Linked DNA regions of Elephas maximus indicus. The protein of the gene in region 3 purifies or fractionates together with the protein of the main gene of each other region. This does not show direct contact. Links are inferred from orthologs where the notes say so. Each region holds a gene or a part of one and is shown on either strand. Other genes may lie near its edges.

Evidence for each region.
Region 1: the proteins of AMBRA1 (region 3) and DNAJB1 purify together in Homo sapiens (affinity purification with mass spectrometry, with the first as the bait; 3 studies listed by BioGRID). This does not show direct contact. The link is inferred for Elephas maximus indicus from reciprocal best matches to the Homo sapiens genes AMBRA1 and DNAJB1.
Region 2: the proteins of AMBRA1 (region 3) and BAG5 purify together in Homo sapiens (affinity purification with mass spectrometry, with the first as the bait; 3 studies listed by BioGRID). This does not show direct contact. The link is inferred for Elephas maximus indicus from reciprocal best matches to the Homo sapiens genes AMBRA1 and BAG5.
Region 4: the proteins of AMBRA1 (region 3) and BAG2 purify together in Homo sapiens (affinity purification with mass spectrometry; 3 studies listed by BioGRID, with this or other methods). This does not show direct contact. The link is inferred for Elephas maximus indicus from reciprocal best matches to the Homo sapiens genes AMBRA1 and BAG2.

Annotation. Positions count from the first base shown.
Region 1 is NC_064821.1:33,094,988-33,102,177, forward strand, and holds the start of DNAJB1 (dnaJ homolog subfamily B member 1), read right to left. Parts: upstream 3,021-7,190; 5' UTR 2,953-3,020; coding exon 2,742-2,952; intron 1,233-2,741; coding exon 652-1,232; intron 385-651; coding exon 154-384; 3' UTR 1-153. UniProt on the Homo sapiens protein: Interacts with HSP70 and can stimulate its ATPase activity. Stimulates the association between HSC70 and HIP. Negatively regulates heat shock-induced HSF1 transcriptional activity during the attenuation and recovery phase period of the heat shock response.
Region 2 is NC_064828.1:117,819,919-117,827,633, forward strand, and holds the start of BAG5 (BAG family molecular chaperone regulator 5), read right to left. Parts: upstream 3,007-7,715; 5' UTR 2,914-3,006; intron 1,554-2,913; coding exon of another isoform or gene 1,440-1,553; exon of another isoform or gene 1,406-1,439; intron 1,166-1,405; exon of another isoform or gene 1,070-1,165; intron 995-1,069; exon of another isoform or gene 691-994; intron 1-690. Other genes in the region: cytochrome c oxidase assembly factor 8, read left to right, coding at 1,440-1,553. UniProt on the Homo sapiens protein: Co-chaperone for HSP/HSP70 proteins. It functions as a nucleotide-exchange factor promoting the release of ADP from HSP70, thereby activating HSP70-mediated protein refolding.
Region 3 is NC_064825.1:102,061,079-102,068,709, reverse strand, and holds the start of AMBRA1 (activating molecule in BECN1-regulated autophagy protein 1), read left to right. Parts: upstream 1-4,615; 5' UTR 4,616-4,830; intron 4,831-7,631. UniProt on the Homo sapiens protein: Substrate-recognition component of a DCX (DDB1-CUL4-X-box) E3 ubiquitin-protein ligase complex involved in cell cycle control and autophagy.
Region 4 is NC_064819.1:122,938,389-122,945,338, forward strand, and holds the start of BAG2 (BAG family molecular chaperone regulator 2), read left to right. Parts: upstream 1-3,934; 5' UTR 3,935-4,460; coding exon 4,461-4,573; intron 4,574-6,950. UniProt on the Homo sapiens protein: Co-chaperone for HSP70 and HSC70 chaperone proteins. Acts as a nucleotide-exchange factor (NEF) promoting the release of ADP from the HSP70 and HSC70 proteins thereby triggering client/substrate protein release.

The DNA.
Region 1 (7,190 bases), on a different chromosome or scaffold from region 3:
AAAGATTGTAATATATTCTCTGGGAAACATTCAGCAGTACGAAAGCCCTCCCTAGGCCTTCCCCGCCCTCTTGCGGAACCACAACTGGTGGAACAATCTGGAAATCCTTGAGCTCTGAAAGGTCCCTAATCAGTCCTTGGGGAGTGCACGTGGCTATATTGGAAGAACCTGCTCAAGTACGGTTCTTGATGTCTGGGGAATCCTTTCAGGGAAGATCACTTCAAACTCAATAATAAGATCCCCGCGTTTCTCCGGTGTTTTAGGAAGGGGGAGGCCTTCTCCGGGAACTTTTCGCCGCATGCCAGGCCTGATGACGTCTTTGAACACGACGGGTATGGTCCTGCCGTCCAGAGTGGGGACGTTCACCGTGCAGCCACAAAGAGCCTTAGAAAACAAAGGGACGGTATTAGATAGAGAATAGCTTAAGAAGCTTAATTCCTACCCAGGGACTGTTTGCTGTAAGGAAGACTCATTAGGCCTCTGCAACTAAGAGCCTGCCCTTAAATCTACTGGGTTAGCAGCATGGAAGTCATGGAAGAATAGGGCCCTGGTCAGTCTTTTTCATGCGGCACCCTGAGCCTGGCCCACAAGTAACTGTGCAGCAAACACTGCCTAAAAAGCAGCCCACTCCCATCCTGCCTAGTGCCTTACCTCCCGAAGGCTGATCCTGGCTGGGTAAATGACGTCAGAGCCATCTCTCTTAAAGATATTGTGCGGCTTGTCCTTTAAAACAAAGACGATGTCAGCTGGAATGTTGTTGGAAGTCTGGTCTCCTTCCTTGGGGAAGGTGATTTTGGTTCCTTCTTTCCACCCCCTCTTCACTTCAATGGTCAAGATTTTGTCTTCATTGCGAATGCTCTTTCCATCGGGGTTCAGTCGCTTGTGGGAGATTTTCATTTTCTTGGTACAGCCGCTGTAGATCTCTTCAAGCGAGACCCGAAGGTCGTGGGTGACGGGAGGATCTTGCTTCTTTCTGGTGGGCTCCTGGGTGGGGCGGGAACGGCCAAAGTTCATGTTGGTGAAGCCACCCATGCCCATGGGGAAGCCAGAGAACGGGTCATCGATGTCCATGCCTTCTTCCCCGTTCCGCTGCCCAAAAAAGTTATCAAAGGGGTTTCGGCCACCGAAGAGCTCAGCAAACATAGCGTGAGGATCTCCATGGAACGTGTAGCTGAAAGAGGTACCGTTAGCACCACCGCTGCTCCCGCCACTGGGACCGCCACCCTTTAGGCCTGAAAAGCAAAATCAGAAGTTGTTAGATAGCTGACCAGGACGTTCTTTTTCTAAGAGTTTTCCTTAAGGGGAAAAACCCTGGGAACCATTGAGTAGGAGTTGTTTTTTTTTTTTTTTTTTAACTTGTCAGGAAAGAGCAAGGAAGAGCCCCAAACTTTTGCCTCCTGATGCAGCAGCACAGACAGACCCTCCATGGCACAACAGAAGGATGAGCTCATCGGGCATCTCTAGGTACCTGCCACTTCTTGGCTAACCCATCCTCCCCAAAACATTACAAGGATTCACCAAGAGATGAGGTGAAAAAAGCATGATTTAAGGTAAGCCTTCAATAAGTATTTACTCTTAATACTTTAGAGATAGCGATGCCAACGAAGAACCCTGATTGCACAGTGGTTAAGCACACTCCAGCTGTTGACACCAATATCAGAGGTTCAAGCCTATCAACAATCTGCTTTGCAAACATTAACCCGTAAAAACCCGATGCTGTAGAGTGAATTTGGACTCATAGCAGCCCTACAGGACAGAGTAAAACTGCCCCATAGTTTCCAAGGTGTGGCTGGTGGATTCAAACTTTTGACCTTCCGGTTACCAGCTGAGCTCTTAACCACTGCATCACCAAAGATTATAGCCTTGGAAACCCTATGGGGCAGCTCTACTCTGTCCTACAGAGTGCTATGAGCCCAAATCCATGGCAAGTGGTATTGGATGCTAATGACAATGTGGAGAGTAGAAGTGGAGATAAAAAGTACACAGATTTTTCAAATGCTCACCACCACACCCTGGCATTAGTTAACACCATCTTATATAAAGTCGATTGATTTCTTGAGACTAGAGTCCAGAAGCCAGGCTGAGTCATCAACGGGCAAACTGACAACAAGAAACCCTTTCTTGCCGAGAAGACTATGCAGGGAGGCCAGGCCTAGGGGACTCGCTGCTCTTGCACGGCCGCAGTCGGTGATGGCTGCTTCCTACGTGCCTGGCACGGCTAGGTAAGCACTTTACAGGGATTACCTCACTCCACCCTCACGGCCCGGGAGTGGGGTCGGTGCCAACCGGCGCCCTCATCTCCGGTCCCACCACCGGCAGGTTGTGCCCGGAGCGCTCTGAGGCGCCGCCCCTCAATCCACTGCCCGGCCGAGCCCAGGTGGGCTCAGGTGAACCTGCGGGCAGCGGCGCGATGAACGAGCTCGGTCTCCGTCCACACCGGCACCCCCGTCACCCCGGGCCGCCAGGGGACGTGGGTGGCGGCTCCCAGGGAGTGGCAGCCCCAGACATGCTAGAACCTTCTGGGTGAGAGGTTTGGCCAGGGCTCCTCCTCCCATCAGGCGGTCGCCAATCCGAGGGCGGAAGCCCGCGGGGACAGACAGAGGGGGCTGCTCGTCCTCCGTGCCGGGGCGACCCCGGAGGATGCTGCAGGGGGTCCGTCGCGTAGGACCGCCGTGCCTCGGTTTCCCAGCTTGCCAAACGGCGGGGGCGCGCCCCTGCCGCGAGCGCACGCACGTACTCACCTTCCTCCCCGTAGCGGTCGAAGATCTCGCGCTTGCGCGGGTCGCTGAGCACGTCGTAGGCCTCGGCGATCTCCTTGAACTTCTCCTCGGCGCCGGGCTCCTTGTTCTTGTCTGGGTGGTAGCGCAGCGCCTGGCGGCGGTAGGCCCGCTTGATCTCCTCGTCCGAGGCGCCGCGGGCCAAGCCCAGTATCTGGTAGTAATCCTTGCCCATGGCCCCCACCTACGGCCTACCGCCCCGCTCTCGCCGTCCCCCGGCTCCGCCACCGCCCGGTCCCGGACTCTATATACCCGTCCGGCGGAAGCTTCCAGAGCCCGCCAGGCCCCTCCAGAACCTTCCGCCACGCCCCCCGCGCCGCACCGGCCAATCGCCGTCGCCCAACCCGCGACGCGCGAAATCCGGGGCGGGGCCTCGCTGCCAACGGTCGCCCCGCGCGGCCACGCCCCTTCCCGCTCTCCCCACCCCCTCGGCAACGCCTACCGTGGCGCACGCCCCCGACGCCGGAGGCCCCGCCCATCCTTTGGGAGATCCAATCGCGGCCGCCTGTACCTTGCGCCCGGTGACCTAGCTTTCCTGGAGCCCCTCTTCATGCCTGGGTCAATAGGTTACTGATACCTTCTGCCCCAGGGCGGTACGCGCCGCTCCGGGAAGCGGCAGGGCCGGGCAGGTCACGCTCCCTTGAGGCCCCGCCCCTTTCTGGCAGCTTTCACTCTGCCTGTGGGAGATCTCACACGGTTTGGGCCTGGTTGGGTGGGGTGATTCTGGGCAGGTTGGATTCCTGCCCAGGTACTTCTTTCTGTAAGGTGGGAATAAAAATACCCACCTGCCTGGTGGCGCAGTGGTAAGCGTTGGGCTGCTAACCAGAGGCCGGCAGTTTGACTCCACCAGCCGCTTCGTGGAAACTTTATGGAGCAGTTCTACGCTATCCTACAGGGTCGCTATGAGTCAGAGTTGACTGGATGACATCCCGTTAACCGGCCCTTTTCTCTCGGCTGTGGGAGAATGCAACGGGGTGCCCCAAGACTGTCCCTGTCCTTACTATGCAGGTCCCTGTAAACTGAGGTAAGGATGGCATCTTTTCCTGCCTAAGCGTCCCGACCGCCCCTCATGCCTTGCACTCAACCCAATTTTCTCAAGAGCTGTGAAATCCGAAATTGTCTTGTTCCTTGGTTTTCATGATTACTGCGCCCCTCCCCCCCACCTCCTGAGTCTGTGACCTGTGTGATCTCCACCAGGGCAGGGATTGAGTCCTGTCCCCGCTGCGTCTCCCATACTTGGAAACAGTGTTGGCATGCTGCGGACGTTTCATGAATATTTCTGGGTTTTTTTTTTTTTTTTTGCACCTGCTTCTTTTCCTCTCCCCACTACCTTTATGATTTGGGGGTTATGGGCCTGTCATACACCTGTTTCCTCATCCTTAGGTGACCACATCCTATTTGGTCCTGAGAATTTGTGGTGCCTGTGATTAAGGACACATCTGATGGGGAAAGCAGGTACAGAAAAGGGTACCACCTGAGAGGGGCATAGGGAGGAAGGGACAGGTAGTCACTCGGAGGGGTGGGGGGTCCTGGAATAACTGCTTGGAAGGTCAGGGCATCACAGTACTAGCTCTGGAGCCAGATGACAGGGTTTGATTCCCGGTTGCACAACTTCCTGTCTGCCCGACCTAGGGCTGGTTACTTAACCGTTCTAGGCCTTGGCCTCCCTATGTGTACAATGAGGATGGCAGTTGTATCCACCTCATTGGGTCTTGAAGTTTACAAGAGTTGACAGCTCTGGCATAAAGGGAAGTACTACCTGCTTTGGTTAGTGGTAGGCTGCTGAGCGTGCCCCCCTTCTCAGTCAGGACTTCAGCAAAAGCTTCTGGTGACTGCCTAGCTTGTGCAGGCTGGGACCGCTGAGAAAGAAGACCATTGGCCTTGTCCTGCTGCCCAGCAAGTAGATTCCGTATCTCCCTGCCCACTCACTGACTCCAAGATAACCGTGCCAGCAAGGACTCTGGACTGAGACATATACCACAGCAGGGGTCCAGAGCCAATGCGGGGAAGAGAATTCAAAATTCAAAAAGTTAGGTAAATAAATAGCAGGAGAGTTGTCATCACGGGGAACAAACCAGAGCTGCCTGGACTTCTTTACACTTACACTCTAGTATTTTATAATATTAATTTAATGTAGAATTACAAACATGGTGGCACCATCCTTTGTTAGGCCTCCAAAGGTATAACATGATTCTGGGTAGGCCTTTCTAGTTTTACTGATGTTTCTTTCCACTCTGGTGGACAACCCTTTGCCAAAAACATCAGGCAAGGGGTATCCTTGTGTTTTGGTGGTAACCTTAGTAAGCCTGGGACATGATCAGGAAGTTTTAACTTAGAAAAAACACAAAACTCTCCTTAGGGCTGTGGGTTTTTGACTGGGCATTTCAGAATATTACTGGAAAAGTGGCCCCAATGGACACCTTAAGTAAGAGGGCGGGTTTTGAGTCAGTTCACTTCAGTTCAAATCCTGGACCCATTATTTACTTACTTACAGCCTTTGCAATCTTGCACAAGTTGCTTGACCTCTCTCCCCGCTTTAGGGCCCTCCTCCATAAAATGAAGAGTAGATTTTTCCTGCTAGGGTTGCTATGCAGACAGCTTGAGAAGGGCCAGGTAGTGAACATTTTAACAGCGAGTGTTGACATGGCCTTGCTGTGTGCCAGGCCTGTTCCAAGCACTCAAATGTGTATTATTTAATCCTTACATTGTTACCTCCATTTTACAGGTGGGGAAACTAAGGCTCCAAAAGGTTGCATGACTTGCCCAAGGTCACCAAAATGCTGCGGTGTACAGTGCTTAGCACACCGAGTACTTACGGCAAGCGCTTTGCTTGTGTGACATGTGAGTCAGATGATGAGAAAGCTTTAGTTAAAAAAAATTGTGTTACCACTCATCAATTGTTCAGCTGTTCATCAAAAAGACTTTAAAAAAAAAATTAATATCACCCGTAAGTACTGTGTTCCTTTAAAAAATCACCGATACGAGATCAAATAGTCAACAATTACTTTAAGAGAAAGATGAGAATGTAAGGGGGCAGGGAAATTAGATTAATGGAAATGAAACAACCAGGAAGGAAATTGTGAGAATTTTCATGCATTAATATAACCAATGTCACTGAACAACTTGTGTAGAAATTGTTGAATGGGAACCTAAACTGCTGTGTAAACTTTTACAAAAAAACACAATAAAATATTATTTATTTAAAAAAAGACCTTTAAAAGCAAGATGGCCACACAAACCAGCGATCCCACTCCTGCAAAACCAAACCTGTTGCTGCTGAGTTGATTCCCACTCATAGCAACCCTCTAGGACAGAGTAGAACTGCCCCATAGATTTTTCAAGGCTGTAATCTCTACAGAAGCCAACTGCCACATATTTCTCCTGCAGAGCCACTGGTGGGTTCAAACCCCTGACCTTTTGGTTAGCAGCTAAGTGCTTAACCACTGGGTCACAGGGCTCCTTAATCCTACTCCTGAACGAAAAAAACCAAATCCGTTGCCATTGAGTTGATTCCAACTCATAGCAACCCTCTAGGACAGAGTAGAACTGCCCCATAGATTTTCCAAGGCTGTAATCTCTACAGAAGCCAACTGCCACATATTTCTCCTGCAGAGCCACTGGTGGGTTCAAACCCCTGACCTGTTGGTTAGCAGCTAAGTGCTTAACCACTGGGTCACAGGGCTCCTTAATCCTACTCCTGAATGAAAAAAACCAAATCCGTTGCCATCGAGTTGATTCCAACTCATAGCGACCCTATAGGACAGAGTAGAACTGCCCCATATGGTTCCAAGGAGCGCCTGGTGGATTCGAACTGCCGACCTTTTGGTTAGCAGCCTTAGCTCTTAACCACTGCACCACTAGGGTTTCCAACCCTACTCCTAGTGAAATAAAAACCTTCGTTAACATAAAAAACTGTGCACAATTGTTTATCGTGGCTTTATTTGTAATTGCCAAAGGTTGGAATGCTTTCACCAGTGTGGTGTAGGGAATTAGTTAGCCATAGTCTTTGTAACTCTCACCATATGACTGGGTGCGACTATGGAAATGAGGTACTTGTGGCTCACCAAGGGGATTGGATAGCTTGTTAATAATGTTAATAAGGTGTGTGGGACCCTTGAGGGAGTAACCAAAAAAACCAAACCCATTGTCATCGTGTTGATTCCGACTCATACTGACCGTATAGGACAAAGTAGAACTGCCCTGTAGGGTTTCCAAGGAGTGCCTAGTGGATTCAAACTGCTGAAGCCTTTACGTTAGCAGCCATAGTGCTTAACCGCTATGCCACCAGGGTTTCCCTGTAGGACCATGCAGATAAGGTATATGAAACCATAATGAGTGGATTGGTCAGTTTTGCCGTGCTGCTAGGCTTAAAGGGAGACACAGAGAGAGGGAGACAGGAGCTGTAACATGGTA
Region 2 (7,715 bases), on a different chromosome or scaffold from region 3:
TGGCAATCACACATTAATTAAAAGACATACTTAAAGAAGGGGCTTGTCCCTACCGCAACCCAGAAGACAGTTATGCTCAGGTACAGCAAGGAGAGTGACATACCAACTCCCTCCCCCCAGCCTGGCAGCTATTAGGAACAGTGGTTACTGCCGCGTCCAGGGGAACCCGGGGCCTGCGGATGTCGCGTTTCAGCCATCGTAAAAAGAGAGGCGCCTACGTCTGCCTTTATAAGATGCAAGCAGTTCGGCATAACACAAATACTTGGGGTGTTAACGCTAGAATGAGCAGGGCACCTGCGGAATGCACGGAAGGGAAAGTCACGCAGCATAAACCCTACCACCCAAGCACCCCATCCCTCCAAGACAGCTATGTCTGGTTTCCAGAAAAAGTAACTCAGAGCAAAAGGACCTGAGCCCCTAGGCAGGCCCCGGAGGGGCCTACACCCCCCGAAGTCCCCATTTCTACATCCGTCTTCCTGCCTTTCCGGGCCTCTCCAAGCCCGGTCCCGACCCGCCCTTTAGTCGCCCTGCAGAGGCGCCGCCTGCGGCTTCGGGGGGCTCGGGCCCCTTCCCCCGCCAGCACACCCCCCGGAACGCGGCATCGGCGGTGAGCAGCGCAGCCCGTCTTCCCGCGAAGAGCTCGGCCCGCCCTCCCCGCCCCCGTCCCCGCCCGGCCCTCGGGCCCTTTACCCGGAGCCGGTCGGGGCTGCCGGCGCCTGGGTTTCCCGCGCGGAGCTGGCCGGTGGCCGGGCGGCCCTTCACGGGGTGAGGCGCCGGAGCGGGGCCCCGAGCTGCATCCCTCTCGCCCCTCCCGGCTAGGTCTGGACGGGGCGGCCGGTGCAGGGGCCGGCGGGGCGGCGGCAGCTACTGGCCGCAGCGGCCGCTCCGGGGGCCTCGGCCCGGGTCCCGCGACGCGCCCGCCGGCCCTGACCTCACAATGGGCCGCGGCAGAGGGGGCGGCGCGCTCGGCACGGCCCGGGGCGGGGAGGGAGCCCGGCCGGCGGGGAGGGAGCCCGGCCGGCGGGGAGGGAGCCCGGCCGGCGGGGAGGGAGCCCGCCCGCTCGCTCACCTGCTCCGCCCGCTCCATCGCGCTCCGGCCGCCGCCTCAGCAGCCTCTGCGGCTCCCGCCTCCGCCCGGCCGCCGCAGCCCCGCCCCGGGCCGAACGCCCCCAGCCCCGGGGAGCCGTCCCTCAGTCGCGGCGCCCCCCCACGGCCCGCCGCCAGCCGCGTGCACGACAGCGTGAGGAGGCCGCGGCCGAGGAGCGCCCGTCACCCCTTCGCCCACAGCCCCGCGGTGCCCGCAGCCGCCTCCCCGAACCGCCGGGAAAGCGCACGGTCGGCCGCGCTCCCCCTCGCCTTAGTCTTTGCGACACTGCCGTAAGGCGGTCTCTGACGCCGTCGCGCCTCTGTCGTGCGCCGCGGGAGCCGGGCGGACGCCAATGATGGCGGCCTTGGGGCCCAGGAGTAAGGCCCTCTTCCCCCAGCTCTGCCGCGCTTTCGCTGGCCACCGCCGCCAGCTCGCCCCAGAGCGCAGGGATGCGGCGCCCAGCCGGGTAAGCGGGGCGCACGAGAGCTTGGACCGGAAGGAGTGGTCGTCAGGGACGAGGCGTCCGAGCCGCAGCTCTCGGGACCGACCCCCACCCCCCACCCCTCGGGACCGACCCCCACCGTGCACACCTCGGGACCGACCCCCACCCTGCACACCTCGGGACCGACCCGCAGCCCCGCACCCCTCGGGACCGACCCCCACCCTGCACTTTTCGGAACCGACCCCCACCCTGCACCCGTCGGGACCGACCCCCACCCTGCACCCGTCGGGACCGACCCCCAGCCCCGCACCCCTCGGGACCGACCCCCACCCCCCACTCCTCGGGACCGACCCCCACCTTGCACATCTCGGGACCGACCCCCACCTTGCACATCTCGGGACCGACCCCCAGCCCCCCACCCCTCGGGACCGACCCCCACCCTGCACCCCTCGGGACCGACCCCCACCCTGCACTCCTCGGGACCGACCCCCAGCCCCGCACCCTTCGGGACCGACCCCCACCCTGCACACCTCGGGACCGACCCCCACCCTGCACACCTCGGGACCGACCCCCAGCCCCGCACCCCTCGGGACCAACCCCCACCCTGCACTTTTCGGAACCGACCCCCATCCTGCACCCCTCGGGACCGACCCCCACCCTGCACCCCTCGGGACCGACCCCCAGCCCCGCACCCCTCGGGACCGACCCCCACCCCCCACTCCTCGGGACCGACCCCCAGCCCCCCACCCCTCGGGACCGACCCCCACCCTGCACCCCTCGGGACCGACCCCCACCCTGCACCCCTCGGGACCGACCCCCAGCCCTGCACCCCTCGGGACCGACCCCCACCCCCCACTCCTCGGGACCGACCCCCACCTTGCACATCTCGGGACCGACCCCCAGGCCCCCACTCCTCGGGACCGACCCCCACCCTGCACCCCTCGGGACCGACCCCCACCCTGCACTCCTCGGGACCGACCCCCACCCTGCACCCCTCGGGACCGACCCCCAGCCCCGCACCCTTCGGAACCGACCCCCACCCTGCACACCTCGGGACCGACCCCCCAGCCCCCCACCCCTCGGGACCGACCCCCACCCTGCACCCCTCGGGACCGACCCCCACCCTGCACACTTCGGGACCGACCCCCACCCTGCACCCCTCCAGGCGGCCTGGCCCTGCACCTCACGTCTCCCCCACTGTGGCGTGAGTTGAGCTCCAGGCAGGGTTCAGAGCAGCAGGTGACCTGGTGGCCCGCAGTGAGCCCGTGGCCCGCAGTTCCCGTGTCAACCCCGTGGTCTGGGTGCGGGGACCAGGGTGCATGTGGACCAGTAGGACTGTCATCACGTGTGCCGAGTCCGAGTCGGCCAGCAAGTCTGTGCCTACCTTTTTATTCTCGAGGACAGCTGCTCTCCGTGTTTAAAGCTCGTGTATCTTTGCCTGTTCGTTGGTGACTTGGCGTCGTTAAGATTGTTAGTACCTTTCCTCACGCGATGGCGACCTTTGTTTTTCTCTAGGACTTCACGGTGAAGAGTTTTTCTGGTTTGGAAATGAGGTGCGTGTATGCTGGCCAAAAATCCACAAAGATTAAAGTCTGTACAAGAAAGAATGGCAGACAGTTTTTATAATTATAAATTGCTCTGTTATGAAAGATATTTTGTTCAAGGGAGGCCTAGGCTTTGAGTGGGGCCCTGGTGGTGCAGTGGTTAAGAGTTCGGCCGCTAACTGAAACATGGGTTCAAACCCACCTGCTCCACAAGAGAAAGATGTGGCAGTGTGCTTTCCGAAAGATTACTGCCTTGGAAATCCTATTATAAGTCACCGTGAGTCCGCATCCACTCCCCAGCAGTGGGCTTGTTTTTTTTTTTTTTTTTTGCGGGGTGGGGGAGGGGCTTGATTCCAGCTGTTAAATGGAAACATTGACTGCGGTGGGGAATAGGCTGCAGATAAAATACGTAAAGGAAATATATAGGCGCTTCATTTGCCAAGGTGCTAATGAGGGAGGCTGGACAGCTTGTTTAAAACAGTAATTAAAGAAGGATAAAAAAAAAACCAATTAAGAATTCCAAAGTGAGCCTGCCTGGAGATGTTCGTTTCTGTTGGTCTCAGGCTCTTAACACACTTTCATAAACGTTGGCCCTGAAGTTCTGTCTAGTTTATAGTTTAGTCGAGGAGCCACCAGGGCAGTTGTTTAGCCAGATCCCAGCCCCCCCCCCCCCCCGCTCAGTTCCCTGTCAGAGTGGCCACAGCCCTCTCTGTGTTCCTAGGACGCAGGAGCCTAGCAGCGTCTCACTCAGTCTTTGGGCAGGAGTGTGCTCACAACAGAGTGTGCTCTGGGAAAGCAAACTACAGACCAACCAAGAGCTTTCCCCAGAATGAGGGCTTGTTGTCGTCAGGTGCTGTCAAGTGGATTTCGGCTCATAGCGACCCCATGTGACAGAGTAAAACTGCTCCTTAGGGTTTCCTAGGCTGTCATCTTATCAGGTAAAAATCTTTTCTGTAATCTCCCACTTGGTAAAGTCGAGGGTCGGCGAAAAAGATGAAGACTGTCAATGAGATGGACTGACACAGTGGCTGCAACAGTGGGCTCAGACATAGCAACGATTGTGAGGATGGCGCAGGACGAGGCACTGTTTCATGCTGTTGTACATAGGGTTGGTATGAGTTGGAACCGACTCAATGTCACCAAACGGCAACAACAACCATCTTTTCGGAGTGGATCTCTAGATCTTTCTCCTGTGGAGCCACGGGGCGGGTTTGAACCACCAACCTTTTGGTTAGCAGCAGAGTGCCTTAGCCACTTATGGCACACTTCCCTATTTTGTGAACTGTTGCTGTTGTTCTTGGCTGCTGTCCAGTCGCCCCCAACTCATGGTGACCCCATACACGATGGAATTGTGCCATCCCCATGATTAGTTGGCTGATTTTCAGAAGTAGATTGCCAGGCCTTTCTTCCTAGTCTGTCTTCCTCTGCTGAAACCTGTTCAGCGTCCTAGCAGCATGCTAGCCCCCACCGACAGATGGGTGGTGGCTGCACATGAAGTGCATTGCCCGGGAATTGAACCCAGGTCTCCTGCATAGCAAACCAAAAAAACTGAACCCATTGCCGTTGAGTTGATTCAGACTCGTAGTGACCCTGTAGGACAGAGTAGAGCTGCCGCATAGGGTTTCCAAGGAGTGGTTTCAAACTGCCAACCTCTTGGTTAGCAGCCATAGATCACTATAGCGCTTAAGCACTGTGCCACCAGGGCTCCAATATTGTGAGCTAGTGGGCAAAAAAAAGGACTTCACCCAGACAAGGCTTCCTTGTTGTCATGCAGGCTTTTTGTTAAGGTAAAATCGGTCTTACCTTGGGTTGGATCCTCACGATGAGACTTACAGGCAAACCCAGTGCTGGGCACTTGCTAGACCGCTCACACCTGTTGTGATGCTGATGACCCAGTAAAAAACGGAGGCTGGCCTGTGAGTCAGAACCTGCCCAACTGTAGCGATGACTCGTGTTGTTTTTTATGTAGGATCTGAGTGCTGCATTATTCTGGATCCTGGATGGACTGTAAACAGTTTCTGCTGTAGGGCAGTTTGTATTTCCTTCGTCACCACCTTTGTGTGCTTCCTGAGTGCACAGCAGTTTCTCTAGGTAGTTAAGTTTCTGCAGCAGGGAGAGATTGCTGTTTTTCAGGAGCTGAGTGTAAATGTCAGGTCTTCCCAAAAGTGACAGGTCGTTATACTGTTTTCGTTATCTAAGTAGATACACATTTTAACACTGCGTCTGTTTTTCATTAATTCTTGGCTCTGCCCTCTGCTTGAGTTAAAGAGATTGGCTTTCAGTACCTGCACGCTTTGTTCCCACTTCTCATCTCTGGATACGAGTTTTAACAGAAATATGATAGTTAGGCACCATTCTCCCTTCCAAACCCAACTTAAACTCAGCTCGTAAGTGTTTGCAGCTTGTTCCTTGTCTGTGTAGTTTGCATCCTTGGTTCTTGAACTTGTCTGTGCTTTGGAACCATTGGTTAGACCTTACACAGAACTGGGGCCCACCCCCTGCGGCTCTCCTGTGAGTGGGTCTGGGGTGTGGCCTGGACATCAGGATTTTTGAGGGTGAGTCAAATAACCCTCCAATTTTGAGAACCACTGGTTACGTTTCATGAAGTAATGTTTATTTTCAGTCCTGAGTTTTAGTCACATTCATAGTAATAGTTGACGTTGACTGAACGGTTGCATGCACTGTTCTGAGAACTTTATACATTTTAATGCATTTAACCTTCGCAATTCTATGAAGTAGTTACTTTTAGCATCGTCACTTGACAGATGAGTAAATTTAGGCACAGTAAAGTCACTTCCTCAAAGCTGTACAGTCTGTAAGGCATGGACACAACGAATGTATGTGTTATAGTCCTGTACACAGAAGTTAAGGAATTAAAAATCATTTTCTAGCAATTTTTGGATCACAAAGAACAAAAATACAAGCCCTTGGCATCGAGAGGTCATTTTTTTTTTTTTTTTTGATGGTTTTACATACTGTTGCGTTTACTTTCCCGTAAGATAGATTTCCAAACTGGAATTCTTGTGCCAAAAAGAATGGATTTTTAACATTTTAGATATGGTCAGATCACATTCAAAAAATCCGTTGTCATGGGTTCAACTCCGACTCATAGTGGCCCTGTAGGACAGAGTAGAACTGCCCCACAGGACTTACAAGGCTGTGATCTTTACGAAGCAGACTGTCTCAGCTTTCGTCTGTGGAGCGGCTAGTGGATTTGAAGCGCTAACCCCGTGAGCAGCCGAATGCTTAACCACTGCGCCACCAGGGCTCCTTCACATTCAGAAAAGGTGCTGCGGGTCACTTCTGCAGAAACGAGGGAAGGCCTGTCTCCCTGACAGCACCGGATGTGATTCCTCCCCTTTTCGGCTTTTCCAATTGGGTGCCTTAAAACTGCAGTTTCCTTGTGTAATTTTCACTTGCTTGACTTCTAGCAGGTTTGAATGTCTTTTCGTATGTTTGTTGACCCTTTAAAATTTATCTTCAATGACTCGCCCTTGCCCTTTTTCTATTTGTTATTAATTCAGAGAAACTTTTTATTACAGATACCAATATTTTTGTCTGTTCTATCTGTTGCAAATACATTTCCCAGTCTGCCTTTTTATCTAGTTTTTTTTTTTTGCCATGTATTTTATCAATTTTTTTCTTTAATTGTGTTTTAGGTGAAATTTTACAGAGCAAATTAGTTTTTCATTAAGCAATTAATACACAAATTGTTTTGTGACATCGGTTGCCAACTCTGCAATATGTCAGCACTCGCCCCTTCTCCTCCACCCTGGGTTCCCTGTTTACATTTATCCAGTGTTCCAGTCCCTTCGTGCCTTCTCGTCTTTGCTTTTGAGCTGGTGTGTCCATTTAGTGTTGTATACATGATTGAACCATGAAGCACACTCCTCACGTGTGTGATCGATTGCCCTATACCAAACCAAGAACCTGTTGCCAGTGAGTTGGTTTCAACTCATAGTGACCCTGTAGACATGTCTAATCTTTGGCTGAAGGGGGAACCTTGGGAGTGATTTCAGTACTGAGTTAAAAAGGTGTCTGGGGGCTATACTCTAGGGGTTTCTCCAGTCTCTCTCAGACCAGTAAACCTGATGTTTTTTGTGAGTTATAATTTTGTTCTACATTTTTCACAATCTGCCCGGGACCCTCTGTTGTGATCCCTGTCAGAGCAGTCGGTGGTGGCAGCCGGGCACCATCTAGTTGTTCTGGGCCCAGGCTGGTGGAGGCTATGGTAGTTGTGGTCCATTAGTCCTTTGGACTCATTTTTCCCTTGCGTCTTTGGTTTTCTTCATTCTTCTTTGTTCCAGATGGAGTGGGACCAGTAGATGTGTCTTAGATGGTACTATGAACTTTAAATAATATCTATTTAGTAAGACTTCAGGGAGCCCTGGTGGTGCAATAGCCAAGCGCTCAACTGCTAACAGAAAGGTTGGAGGTTCGAACTCACCCAGGTGCTCCGTGGGAGAAAGACCTGGTAGTGACCAGCTTTCCTAAAGACCACAGCTTAGGAGACCCTCTGGGCAGCTCTGCTCTGTCGCTCACTGTGGGTCGAAATTGACGGAGTGGCAACAACAACCGCAGGACTCACCTGTCTTTCTGATTCCTGGGTGTAAGCTAGTGGCATCAGAGGTCTTCTGAAACT
Region 3 (7,631 bases):
GTTGATACACACATTTTTGGGGGGACATAATTCAATCCATGACAGTATGTTTGAAACCATTGTTGCAGCCACTCTTGTCAGTCCATCTCCTTGAGGATCTCCCTCCTTTTCGCTGGTCCTGTGCTAAGCATGATGTCTTTTTCCAGCATTTGGTCCCTCCTGATGACATGCCTTTTACATAGAGCGCTGTCTTTTTTAGAAGAGCTGATTTCTTTGTCACTCTAGATTCTTAAAGTGTTCATAGATTTCAATCCATTAATAAATTCCACGCGTGAATTTATCCTATATAAATATTTACAAAGAAGGAAGAGCCTCCTATCACTCTGCTGCCAGTGATTTCCTGCTGTTCTGGAATCTCTCCCCTTCCCAGTGTTGCTCCTACATGGCTACACTGCTTCCACTTTTACCATTCCAGCCCGAAGTATATGCACTACCCCACAGTGCGATGAGACCAGGCTACAAAGGACCAGAATATAATTGTAATAGCAAAATCAAAAATTGGCTCATCATTTTGGCTGCTCTTAAAGCCAAGGCCTAACCCTCTTCCTGAACTTCCTAATAAGATGACACATGATACCATGGACTGCCAGAAGAGCAACAAATCTGTCTTGGAAGAGGCACAGACAGAATGTTCCTTAGAAGCGAGGATGGCAAGACTTCATCTAACGTGCTTTGGACACGTTATCAGGAGGGACCAATCCCTGGAGAAGGACATCATGCTTGGTAAAGTAGAAGGCCAACAAAACAGGCAGACCCTCGAAAAGATGGATTGACAGAGTGGCTGCAACAATGGGCCCACACAGTAAAAATTGTGAGGGTGATGCACGATCAGGCAGTGTTTCATTCTGTTGTACACAGAGTCACTGTGAGTAGCAACCAACTCGATGGGCACCTAACCATAACAGCTACAGAGTTATTTCACCCTAGGTTCAGCCTTATTGCTACCACCCAGAATGCAGTAGAGCAAGTTTCCAAATCCCAGAGTCAAGGTTGGGAGCAGAGTCTCCTCCCTTTCCCTCCCTCTCTCCCCCAGGCAATTCCTCTAGGCTAACATGCCCAATCCTCTTCCTTGTTTAAAAAAAAAAACAGTTGCCCTTGAGTCGATTCTGACGCACAGCAAACCTATAGGACAGATAAAACTGCCCTGTAGGGTTTCTAAGGGGCATCTGGTGGATTGGAACTGTTGACCTTTTGTTAGCAGCTGAACTCTTAACTACAGCCCTACCAGGGTTCCTTTGCTGGTTTAGTCTTTCCAAATTCTTTCCATGTGATGGACAATGGCAAGGTCCATTCTTAGGTTGACCAATTATCCCAGTTTTCCCAGAACTGTCACAGTTGCTCTGAGTCAGAATTAACTCCACGGTAGTGTTTTTTGTTTGTTTTTTGGGGGGCAGTGGGGAGGCAGAGGAGGGTGTCACAGTTTTAGCATTGAAAGACCCATGTCCTGGGAAACACTTCAGTCTTGGGCAAACAGGACATTTGGTTACCCTACTTCAGAGAATGCACTATGCTACCTTTAAAGTTATGACTCCACCTGGAGAATGCTATACAATGAACAATCAATACAATAATGACTTATTGAGTATTAACACCAATATTTAGGGCATCAGTGGTACAACCCAGGATGATCTTTACCTCTACCCACTTGGTTTCTTTTTTAAAGTTCTTCCTCCAGTGTGAGGAGTATCCTGTAGGTTTGGGGGTTTCAACTCCTTTTCTCTTATGGACAATATTTCCATCCACACAGACATCTCCATAAGAACAAAACAGTCGGTTGTTGTCACATGGAAGCTTAAATCCACACTTCAAAAGAAACAGTTCTCTAAAGAAAATGTATCTCTAGGAATGCGATTCTGCCTGCAGAATAAGCCGTATTTTCCATGATCTCACAGAACAGTATAGCTCCATAGCTGTCTCAGTTTCTCAAATATCTCCATTTTCCGATGGTCATTTTAGATTTATATTTGCATAACTTTCAGGTGATTTTCCCAAAATAAAAGTCTCTGGCTTTTAAAAAGCAAAAACTTATCATAAACTTGAAATTACAGTTTCTTAGCTTTTATTACTGCAATAAAAGTTCCAAAATAATGTAGTAATTTAGGTCAAATTTGAATCAGGGGTGTAGCTCTAGACATTATGCCCCACAAACCTTTCTAAAAAAGGAAGCTTATCTATAGCATGTATTCTAGGAATTCTGGGAAGACTGCAAAGAAAGGTCTCTTTGCCAGCTCCTCATTTGGCTCCAGAAATGTGGCAGAGACTGCTTGTTTAGCTGTCACTTAGTATCCATGTGCCTTCCACCTTCAGTGGGTAAATGGCTGCCTGGGATAAAGACTACTTCCCAGCTTGCCTTTCATCTAGGTATGGCTATGTAACTAAATCCTGGTGAGTAGATATAAGTGGAAGTGCCTGTGTTACTTTCAAGATGTGTGGTTATGGCTAGGAGACGTGCTTTTCCTTCTGAGCTTCCTGCTTTTTGGAATGTGGTCATGATGGCTGGAGCTTGAGTAGACATCTGGGATCTGAGGTGAAAGCCACTTTTAGCCACTAATAGCAAAGCAATAAGATAAGAAGGAGCCTCGTATCTGACACTGAGACACCATACTTACCCTGGGGTGTGCATCTCTGAATTTCTTTTATACGACAAAGAAATAAACCTCTACCTCCCTTGTTGTTAATTGCTGTCAAATGGATTCCAGCTCAGGGCACCCATGTGTGCAGTGCAGAACTGCTCCACAGGGTTTTCAAGGCTCTGTCCTGTAGAAAGTAGATTTCTAGGCCAATTTTCCAAGGCCCCTCTAAATAGGTTTGAATTGCCAATTTTTTGGCTAGTAATCAAGTGCTTAACTCTTTGTGACACCCAGGAATTCCCTGCCTTCCTTGATTACTCTTATTATTTGTTTATGTGCAAAAAAGACTAATAATAAATAATAGGGTTATAGCTGCCTCTTTCTAAGTGCAGCAATACCTATTACACAGAAAAAGGAAATAACACAAATGTTCAGCAATGGGGAGCATGATCAGTGTATCCCCTCAGTGGACTATTGTGCAACAGTTAAAGAAAAAACTAATAAGTTTTAATAGGGGAGATGATATAATGAAAAATTATAACGTAATTGTATCTCTCCTTGAATTAAACTTCTAAAAATTATATATGGATATTTCCAAGCACTTCATGGGAACATGAACAAATTAAAATTATACATTTTGGAGGCAGACTTTTAAGTTGTTGTTTTTTAAGACTTTCATTAATGCTACTATACTGTTTACTCATTTTAAAAGTCCTCTAAAACAGTGGTAGACAACCAAAGCCCAGTGTCTTGTCCTTATGTATGGCATGTTATGGTTGCTGGTCTCATGTCTATGTGTTATTTTTATGGGTTGTCCCTAAGTATTTTCACAGACTAAAAGAAGAAAGTACAGAAAGTAACAATAAATTGTAAATAAAATTAATGCTGTAAGGATGTGTTCTTTCACTTTAATTAAATTATAAATTATTCAAGGACTGGGACTATCTTATTTTCTTTTTATGCCCTTCCAAGTCTCCTCACTCCTTAGGAGGAGGTAGGGTACTCTGTATTACTGTTCACACTTGGTAATCCATATTTGTAGTGATCCATGTGTTTTACTGAGTTGTACTCAGGATGCACATATAAATCCCTACTTGTGCTGAGCATATTTGGGTACTAAGAGACTTCAGAAACAGGCCATTGTTGTGCATGAAAATGTCAACATACTTTATCATCTGATCCCAGAGACTTTTGATCATTATGTAAGAACCACACCTGTGGTTTTATGGTCCCTGTGCTAAAAAAAACCCCAACCTATGGATTCCAACCCTTTGCCCTCGAGCGGATTCCAACTCATAGGGACCCTATAGGACGGAGTAGAACTGCCCCATAGAGTTTCCCAGGAGCGGCTGGTGGATTCGAACTCCTTAGCAGTCGAGCTCTTAACTACTACGCCACCAGGTGCCAGGTAAATCAGTATCTAGACATGTCGAAGAAAATAAAATGCGGTCCATGGATTGGCTTTCCCCTGATTTAAGGTCAGATGACACACCCGTGGGTTTTCTCAGCTTCTTGCTACGTTTGTGGGACTTTAAGGGCTTTTGTATTTACTTTGTTTCTATCTGGATTCGCATTCTCTTCCTCTCGCCATAAATACATACATATTTTTGGTGAATGTATTACTGGAAAGCCATGTAATCACATAATGTTAGAGCTGGAGAAGATTTCAGGGATCATTCATCTCACTGTTTTGTGAGAAAACTAACGATCAAAAGAGGTGATTTGCTCAATTGGGATAAATATTTTTCTAAGTTCATAAGGTAGTCGAACTGTATAGCTAAACTACAATTAGACTACAAGTGTTACTGCACCATGATTTGATTTTCAACACTCTCAAGAAAAACTCCAGGTGTCTACACAACTTAAACAGCCGGCAACCGACACAGAAAATGGCAGAAGCACAGGTTTAGAATCTGGACTTGTTTATTTATGCCTTGGACGGGAGCCGGACCTTGAAGCCACGGAGCTGTTTTCCGGCGCTCGGCTCTGGTGCCTTGAACGATAGCTCAGGCGCTCCTCCATTAATGTCTGGGCGTTCGTGTGTTCGGTGATCTTTTGCGCCGTCTTCTTGCTTGATGTCTCCTGAGCGGTGGCGGCGCCCGGTCGAGGGCTGAGTTACCCGCGAGGCTCCACACTCGGGCCGCTTTCTTCCGCCGGTCGGTAGAGCGGACCTCTTGCGTCCTTCCTGCCTATTCCTTCCTCCTCTTTGTGGCTCAGCCTGCTCGCCGGGCTGCAAACCGAGCCCCCACTCGCCTTGCAGGTAGGCCCGGGAGGAGCCTGGGAGGCCCGGCCCGGCATCCTTCAGCCACGGGGTTGAGAAGACCTTGGCGCCGGCGGGTGGGCGGGCGGACCCGCGGCCGAGACTCCGCCAGAGGAGGGGCTGTCGGGCTGCGTTCGGGGGCGCGGCCGGAGGGGCGGCAGGGAACTGAAGGAGAAGCCGGAAGGAGGGAGAGATGCTGGGGCAGCCCAGTGTGGTTCGGTAGGGAGGGGATGTTGGGTCTAGGGTGGGTGTCGGCGCCCCCTGTGTCGGGGGAAAATCGCCTTCCAGAATGGTTAAAGATTTGCGCACTTTGACCCTCCTCCCTTTTTCCTTTCCCGCTTCCTAAGGCTCCGGGTGTCATGACTCAATTGCACTGGGGACCCCCTCTGAGTCCGGCCTTTGGAGGGACCCTTGAGTAGGTGGAGGCGTGTGGAACAAGGCCCTCTGGCTCCTCTGAGCGAAGTGTCATTTTCTCGCCTCTTTTTTGGGTAGGGAAACTGAGGCTGAGGTCTGGGACGTGAGTTTTCCCCATATCCCCTGCAGATGTTGAAGGCACTGTAAGTCACTTTTTTGTCATTTACCAGCTCACCTTTTTTCGTTTTACCAGGTACTCCTTTATGCACATAGTGATTTGTCATTTGATTGTCTGTGGTTCCTTCTTCTTAGGAATATAAATTCTGTTACCGGTGACTTCAGAAGTAAAGAGACCATGTGATCTTTTGGCTGGTTTTGCTTTTCAAAGTCTGTGTTATTTTAGCGAGAATAGCAATGACAGTTTCTTTTTGTTTCTTGGTTGATAATTTTGTTTGCTGTCCAGTTTGCTTTCTAGTTGATGCTTTTTTTCTCCTCCTTCCCCTCAGCCGGTTTTTAGTGGAAATCTTTCAACTATGGTGTCCTGACAGGATGGTCAAGATTTTGAAATCAGATGGTTGGCCTTGTGAGGGTTTGCCTTCCGGGAAGTATCCAAAGGAAACCTAAGGAGTCCCTTTTGGAATACTTTTTCGTGTTTTTGATTAGTGGTCAGTGCATATACTAGAGGTAAAAGGCTGTGTGCAGGAATCATGCAAATATTGAGGTATTTAAATTGAAGGTTAACATTCTGGGAACTCTGTTATGTTTCTCTCCAAACTTGGGAAATTTGGGGAGTTACTTATTCTTACTCGTTTTATTTTCATTGAATTTGGTGTTATGATCCTAATTTGTGTAACTTTTTGTTGAAAAAAATAATCAGCGTAGAGGTCAAGCTAGGTCGGATAAGTTCTCATAGTATGTAGAATCATTGGGAGAAGCCTTTTAAGGGAGAACTGATTAAATCCCTGGTGCTTGGATGGAAAATATACAAGTCTCTGACCCAGCACAATTTTAGCATTCTCGTGTGAGCGTTGGAAAGATTTTTTTTTTCCCCTCTAATTTTTTTGTGGGGTCAGCAAGATTTAAATGAAAGGCCTTTGATCGCGAGTGCTTTTCTAGTCACCAGGATCTCAGTGCTTACTGAAAAGGATTAATGAAGAGCCACCAGACTATACGGAGAATCTAGATTGGGAAGTTAGGTTAAGAATGTGTATTCGTTGAAGAAGAAGGCTTTATGGTAGAAGAGAAATTATATCAGAGGAGAGAACTTAGAGAAGGAAGCGATATTGTCCATTAATCTTTGGTAGGTTCTGGACAGAATTTAGAGTTACGTGTAGTATCTTAGTGGTATCTTATAAGTGCTAAATAATAATAATAAAAAACAAACAACCAAACCCAGTGCCGTCGAGTCGATTCTGACTCATAGCGACTCTATAGAAAGAGTAGAACTGCCCCATAGAGTTTCCAAGGAGCACCTGGCGGATTCAAACTGCCAACCCTTTGGTTAGCAGCTGTAGCACTTAACGACTACGCCACCAGGGCTTCTAAGTGCTAAATAAAGTAAGTGGAAATTGCTGTGAGTGTCGGGAAGAAATATTAGCAACGTTTTATGTTTCTGTAAAAAGTACTTGAAGATGAATTGAGGAAGATAAGAAATTTGGTGGTAGGGCTTATGGGGTAGAGTTTATCAGCGTCTTGCCCCCTTCTCTGCTTTAGGATAGAAATTCACTCCACTTTTAACTTACTTGATCAAATCTTGTTTTGTTCTGTCAGTGTCAGAGTGGGCTGTCTTGTGGGATTTCCTTTCCGAAATGTACAGGTTCAGAATGTGATTGAATTATTCTTTTAGCAAGACAGTTCTTGGGGATTCTTAAAGGTGCTGGTTTCTTTGAATATCCTGTAGAATTTGGCCTGGAATGGAATTATGTATATCACTTGAAAAAGATAAGTTATGTGTATTACTTGAAAATTATTATTTTTATTAACAGAATAACAACTTACACTTTTATACTGTATGATTTTCAAAATATTTTCAATATGTGTTAGGAAACTTAAGAAACTTATTTTTTTGACCATATTCCTTTATGCTGCTTATTAATTATGCTGCTTATTAATGTTGAACCAAAACATTTATGGTGTTTGAGGATCCTCGTGAATGTTGACAGATTATGTTGACTATTTGTCTCACTCCTCCCATAATATGATAAAGTCTTTGCTTCTCTTAAAGGAATTGGAGAAAAAGTTTTGTCGTCGGCACACCAAGGTCTCTTTTTCCAAGATGTGCCTCAGCCTCAATAGAGTTATTTTGGAATGGGATGCAGATTTTTTTTTTTTTTTGCTCAGTGGTTTGGTTTATAAAAACAAAAAATCTGAAGTTCCTTTAATCATAGTCATTCTTGTTTCTTTCTCCAGTTGTTCCTTATAAACCCAAAGAGAACTTTCTGTTTCTT
Region 4 (6,950 bases), on a different chromosome or scaffold from region 3:
AGGTGGGTCGAGACCAATTGATGCGTCTTAGATGGCCACTTGCTAATGTTAAAGTTAAATTTTTGATAGCCTGTGAGATTTTGCTGTTTTGTGGTTTTGCTTTTCTATTTGTTTTAAGATTCATATGCATCACTTCAAGTCTTTTTGGAAATAAGTGACGTAGATTTTTCTTTTTAATGTTGAAATAAGTGATTACTTGCCAGTTGACTGCCATCCCTAAATGAAAATAACTTGCAAGGTCCTTAGCACATTATATTCATGTATTTTGAATTTCATTTTGAGGTAATATCCAGATTCTCATGTTTCATAATACTCAAATTTTATGGAAGAAAAACTTCCAAGTTATCCTAAGTTTTTCCAGTTTACTTTTCCTTTTCTTTTTGAAAAGGTGAATGTGCTTGATGAGATTTATATAAAGCACATGTTTATTAGCTTTCTGCCCTAAGTATTAAAATTTATGTTTTTTAATGCAGATGTGGAATTAGAAGAAGCTATTAGAAGAAGTCTTGAGGATATGTAATTAAAGATATTACCACACAACATCAAGTGGCCTTGAAGAGATTCTCAGGATGAGTTCTAGAGTTTGTTTTCTAAAGGACACCGAAATCTACTAGCATAAATGTATTTGAGAATATGCTTTTGCATTCATGTATTCAGAGTCTGATATTTGCTTTGTGTTTTTGTGCTATTTGGCAAAAATGTTCAGAAGGAATGGAATATATATTAATACAAATATAAATCATGTATTCTAATGTAGGTATTCGTTTCTCAGCTAACTTCGAATGCATATACTTAGATTAAAATGATTTTTAAAAAATAGAAAAAATCTTGGCTATTGTTTATATATTTCTCAAATATGTGTTCTTTAATTTTATTTGTACTGTACAGATGATTCTGGTTTATTTTTTTAGGAGTGAAAATGAATAGAAATAAAGCTGCTCAATTTTTCTGTAAATCTTCTCACGTGGCATTGATATAAAATACATTTTGAGATCTTTATTTATAATTATTAGACCAGAGTAGTGGAAATTGATCATGTAAATAGATTAAAATTTTTACCAACAATGTCCCTTTTGGGTTTTGCTCAAATGTATATCCCTGCTTTAATTAGAGGAGTACATTGCTAGAAAAAAAAAAAAATCAATTTTTTTGAAATAATTAAAAGGAAACATTTTCTATTCCTTTTACCTGCTTAGACTTTTCTATGACTTGTATGAGCTACTGTTGAAGGGGAATGATGCTAAAATATTTGTGTAGAATTACACTTATTTTTAATAATCTTAGTCCTTTTTTAAATATATTTATGTAAACATAATATTCCTCAAAAAATAATGTAAGGCCTACTCAGGAATATTCTTCCTTAACTGTTTTAAAAAAATTATTTCTTATGAAAGTAGCTTCATTGTAGTTATTCATTGAATTGTCAATTTCCTGCATTTGGATTACATATTTAATTTTTAGATGTTGAGGCCCCATTGTGAATAGTAAAAATATTACATAAATAGCAAAGTAAGAAGAGCTCATGATACTACCTGTGTGTGTTTCATGTTTTTTGACCAGAAATCCTTTAGCATTAAAAAACTGAGTAGTAATTACTTACCAAACTTGAAAACATTTCTTTAAACATAAAGCTTTCTTTAAGACAAAAAATACCATGGCCAGAATTTTGTTCTTTCTCTGTAACACTGGATATTTTATTGTAAAGTGGAATTACTGTTTTTTTTTTTTTTTATTATTAACAGCCTTTTCAACCCACATTGAAAACCAAATTGTGTATTTCTTAAGATGTCAGTTCTGTTCCTCCCTGCTTACATTTTTTTAAAACACCATAGCTTGAGAATTTACCTGTCATCATTCTAAAATGACCACATTATGCTTTCAATTTGTAGGTTGAAGTGGTCAAGCAGGGCTCTAGGAGGTACTCATTAAGCCGGACTTTAAAGATACTTGCAAGAGCTTTCTAAATAGGAGCAGAAAAAATGGTCCAGGAAGAAGAGTGGTTTAGCAGATGTGGGGCAAGTGGAGACAGTAGCTCTTTGCCAGAGTTCCATACATGGGTGTGATGTACACTGATATTCCATTAATAAGCTTTTGTGGTTTGTATGGTAGAGAGTAACCAAAACTTTTGAAATGACAGGAAAGGAATATTTCATCATGACCTTTAAGAAGAGGTAGTTTAATGTTTTAATTAATAATTGTCACCAATTGTATTTCTACCTGTAAAGCAATTAAAAGTCATTTAAAAGTACGTCATAGTTTAATTTAATTTAGACACAAGGAGAAGATATAATCAAGTGGATGACATTAGAGAAAGTCATATGGCTTATTTATCAAAAGTAAATGTTTCTAACATAAAGATGCTTTTCATTACATTATTCATTCATTCAAAGAACTATTGAATACCTACCATGTACCAGCAACTGTTCAAAGTACTCGGGATGTACCAGTTAGCAAAATAAAGCCTCCACCCCTCTGTGGAGCACACATTTGGGGAGAGGGGGTTGGATGGAGTTTTAGATAATAAGCAAGTAAACAAAACAGTATATCTGATGATGATAAGGGTGATGAAGGAGGGGCTTACTATTTTTAATAGGGTGGTCAGGAAATATCTCTCTGATGGGTAAAGTTGAGCAAAAGAAGGTGAGGGAGTGAGCCATGCAACTATATATGGGGAAAAGTGTTCCAGGTGCAGTGAAAAGGTCTAGAAGTGAGTTCAGCATATTCAAGGAAAAGCAAGAAGGCTAGTGTGGCCGAAGCGGGATGAGCTAGGAGGGCAGCAGATAAGATTGGAGAATTGAGGTGGGGAACTGTGCATGGAAGGCCTTAGGCCTTTTTAAGGACTTGCTTTTTCTCTCGCATGAGGAACCATTCTAGGTTGCTGAGAATGAGTGGTATGATCTGCCTTATTTAAAAGAATTAACTATAGTTGCTTTATCAAGAAGACATGAGATGCAAGAGTAGAAGCAGAGAGACCAGACAGGAGGGTACTGGAGCAATCCAGGTGAGAGTTGATGGTAGCCGTGGAATTGGGGAGAAAAATCTGGATATATTCTAAAGGTAGAGCTAACGGATTTTACTCATGGATTGGATCTAGGATATCAGAGAAAGAGTTCAGCATGGTTCTAAATTTACTTCATAGACTTTCACACCATTAACAAAATGTCTTCAGATTCCGAGCTTGTGTCACAATATGACAAAATATGTTTAATGAGGTCAAATAATCTCCTACACCAATAGTTCATTAGTATTTAGAATGAGTTCAGAGGGAATTTCAATCTGGGTTTAAGGGCCTTATGTTCAAGTATTAAATGGCTTTGATGTCTGATTAAAGGTTGTGATTCAGCTTTAAACGGTTTTGTCATTTTCTGTGCTCTGCACATTTTCGCCTTTACTGTATGACACACAGCTATAATAAGATGGGAACAAAACAAATTTTTCCTTTAAACAGAAATCGTTATACTCCCAGACCTACTCCAATCTTTTACCGACCTTTATGGTATCTCACCTAGTGGACTACTGCATCTTGCCATTGTTACTAGGAGATTTAAATAAGTTAAACATAAAATGGCCTTCATTGTTAATACCAACTATTTCACTCACTTCCTACAGGAATAATTTTTTTGAATAAACAGTAAAAACAAATCAATAAAAATTGCTTCATTAGAATGGGTGGAAACGAAGCAAATTCATCTTGCTTCCCATATCCAGCTAGACAGACAGGTGTGGTAGCTTTTTTTTTTTTTTTTTATAGGCTTAATGTTGTCTAGGCTGTGATTTTCATCTCAGGAAAGGGACGGGTAACAGGACAGGTCTGGACTGCCTAGGGGTTGTACATAAATGCTTTCAGCTCCCCAAAGGGACCATTTCTGCCCACATCAAAGGACTTTTAACTTTTTTTTTCCTTGCTGTGAATTATGGGTGCTGGGAGAAACTGAAAGAAGCCATCACTGAGCACTACACCCACCTGTGGGCGTTGGTTACTTTCAGGCTGCACCGAGCAGGGGGGTCCATTCCGGGGAAGGAGGCGGGGCGTTCTCCGCGTGGGCGTCGGTTGTTCCAGACTTCGGCGAGCAAAAGTACCAGCCGCTCGCGTTGTGCCCAACCCGCTGCCTGTGTCCGCCCTTCTGGGTTCCTTGAAGGCTGCCTGGCATTGCTCCTCAGGTCCCCTTGCTCTGCCTGCCTATCCTGGAGACCCGGTGACCCGCGAGTCCCTAACCACTTCGCTCCCCCCGCCCCACCGCCGCAGCAGCCCCCGAGCCCCGCGGGCGCCGCGTCTGTCCTTCTTTGGCCAAGCGGCAGCAGCAGTGCCGGCGCGTCTCCCGGGCCGTCCCCCGCGGGCGTCAGAAGGAGGCGGTCGCCCCGCGCGGTGACAGCGACGCCTGCGGCCCCGGGAGCGCTCCACTCGCCGCTGTCGCCAGAGAGGCCGGTGACCTCTTGGCCCCCCCGCCTCGGAGGCTCAGATGGCTCAGGCGAAGATCAACGCGAAAGCCAACGAAGGACGCTTCTGCCGCTCCTCCTCCATGGCGGACCGCTCCAGCCGCCTGCTCGAGAGCCTGGACCAGCTGGAGCTCAGGTGAGCGCGGCCGGCGGCGGCGGGGTTCCCATGCGGAGGCGGCCGGGGCCGGGCGGGGCCTGGCCGGCCGGGCGCCGTCCCGCCTTCCCGGGGCTGCCTGTGCAGCAAGAGCCGTGCTTGCTTGAGATTTGTTTTTGGTGGAGATGGCGCGGTTTTGTTTCTTGGTGTTTTTTCTCCTTGTCCGAGAGAGGACAGATTCTATTTAAGCTAAACCTGTGAGCGTGTTATTGGTGGTCACATTCTGATTCACGTGTCTGGGCGTTTGGCAGCGGAGAAAATACAAATCAGAAAAGATAAAAGTTACGATGACATTGTTTGAGATTAGGGACTGTGGCACTCCTGGTGAGCAGAACTTCTAGAACCTTCTTTGTGCCTCTACATGGTCCTTCCAAATGTTTCTAACTTAACACTTTTTCTGTTATGCGTTTTTAAGGGAGGCAACAGTTTAGTGTGGCCCCCGATATGAAATGATCAGTTTTGTTGCTCCAGAACGCTTTAGAGCAAAAAAAAAAAAAAAGGAATCCACCCAAAAGCAAGGTTTAGAGAGGAGTGGGACAGATGCTGGGCTGTGGGGTGAACGGTAGCTGGGTATTTTATGGAATAAAGACACCGCAGCTTCCCTTCCTCTGGTAACCCCGCATACTGTATTCAGCCATTCCCTTAGTCTCTAAATATTCATTGTGTACCTTCTTATATGGAAGTCACTGTGCTGACATGACACCTTCTTGAAGGTGCTAGTCACCGTGGCCTGAAAGCTTGAAAACATAGTTTCCCCTTTTACCTGATTAAGATTTCATTAAGTGATTAACCGCTCCAAGTCGGAATCGACTCCCCGGCGACGGTTTTTTTTTTTTTTTTAAGTAATTAATGCAGTGGTAGGCTTGTATAGAATTTCTGAATTTATAATAAATTTTGGCAATACTTTTTATTCCTTTAACAGTATATGAAAACTTTTGTTTCCTATGAACGTTTTGATCTGTGTACAGCTTTATGTACTTAAACGAAGATCTTACTAAGGCATACAGGAACCCCCCGAAATTGGACAGAGTTTTGTTTCACAGTTTTCACCAGGTTCAAAAAGGTGTATGTGAGCCAAAAAGTGTAAGAAGGGCTGCATGTATGTGTTTATCTCTCCTGATTAATATACCAAATCAAAAAGAGATGTATGTTTTCCAAGAAAAGTAATAGCCACAGTATTCTCTAAGCACTGAGGCACTTCCAACTTTCCCAAGAGTCAGAGAATGAGAAATTCTCCACGTACGACGATTTCATGAATGGCAACAGAGAAATCTGAGCCCTAAGCCAGGTTCTGAGGTTCTGCTCAGAATGAGACAAATGGAACAAGACAGAAACAATGCTTCTATGTGAATTTCCACAAAAATAGTAAACCTGACCCATTCAACCCAGAGAAAGTGGAGCAAAACTAGAGATCAAAGGCCTCAACGACTTTCTGTCTCTAAGAGTAATATTTCTCTCCATGCAGCAGTGTAAAAAGTAACTCACACCTCTCTCCTGGTCTTTAGAACTTTGAGAACATGTCTTCTGACTTTTCAGGAGTCTCCTCAATTCAGAAAGAAACGGTTTTTTCCTTAAAAGAATGAGGAGGGCGTGGCCCCTCCTTCAAGCTGAGTCATTGTCCTGAAACCAGAACTAATACCTCACACGTGGTGGGTACAAAAGTAGTCAAGTGTGCCTCTTTAAAAGAAAGCATCTAGTTTTTTGAGTATTATTATAGTCAGATGTTTGATTAATGTAAAATAATTACTGCATGTAAGTGATTAAATTACAACTTGCTTAATTAACCAGTGAGCTGAGGAGGAAGGACTACTGATTAATATGTGTCTTAATTGTTCATTTCAAGGACTTTTCTAATAATTCTAGACTTTTAAAAGCTCTATTTCTTCCTTTAAAAAAAGAAACGAAACTGAAAACTTAGGAAGTATTTCACCAGGTAAGAAAAGATAGAAAAAAATGCTGCCATTCCTATGAAAGTTGTTCTGAAACCACGCGGGGTATATTAGGTAGAGGAAAATGTTACCATTTTGTACTTAGAAGCACGCATTTACTATTCTCCAATCACACTGGTTCTGTAGATTGAGAAAGAAATTTCTTCCATATGAAACTGAAAGCAAGATTATGCCAAATGCTGTATGATTTGAATTACGAGCTGGTGTGTATGTTTAAAATGCTTTAAAATATTTGGCAGCATTCTACAAATCATTAAAGAATTCCATTTGTTTCTAATACTTTATCATGACACTAGCCTTTCTTCTTTGACTCCATCTCCTTTGTTCCTTCCTCTTAAAGAGGTAATTCATGTCTCTCCACGTTTTCATAACCAGTTCTGAACAGAGTCTGAATTTTTCATTTTGCAGTG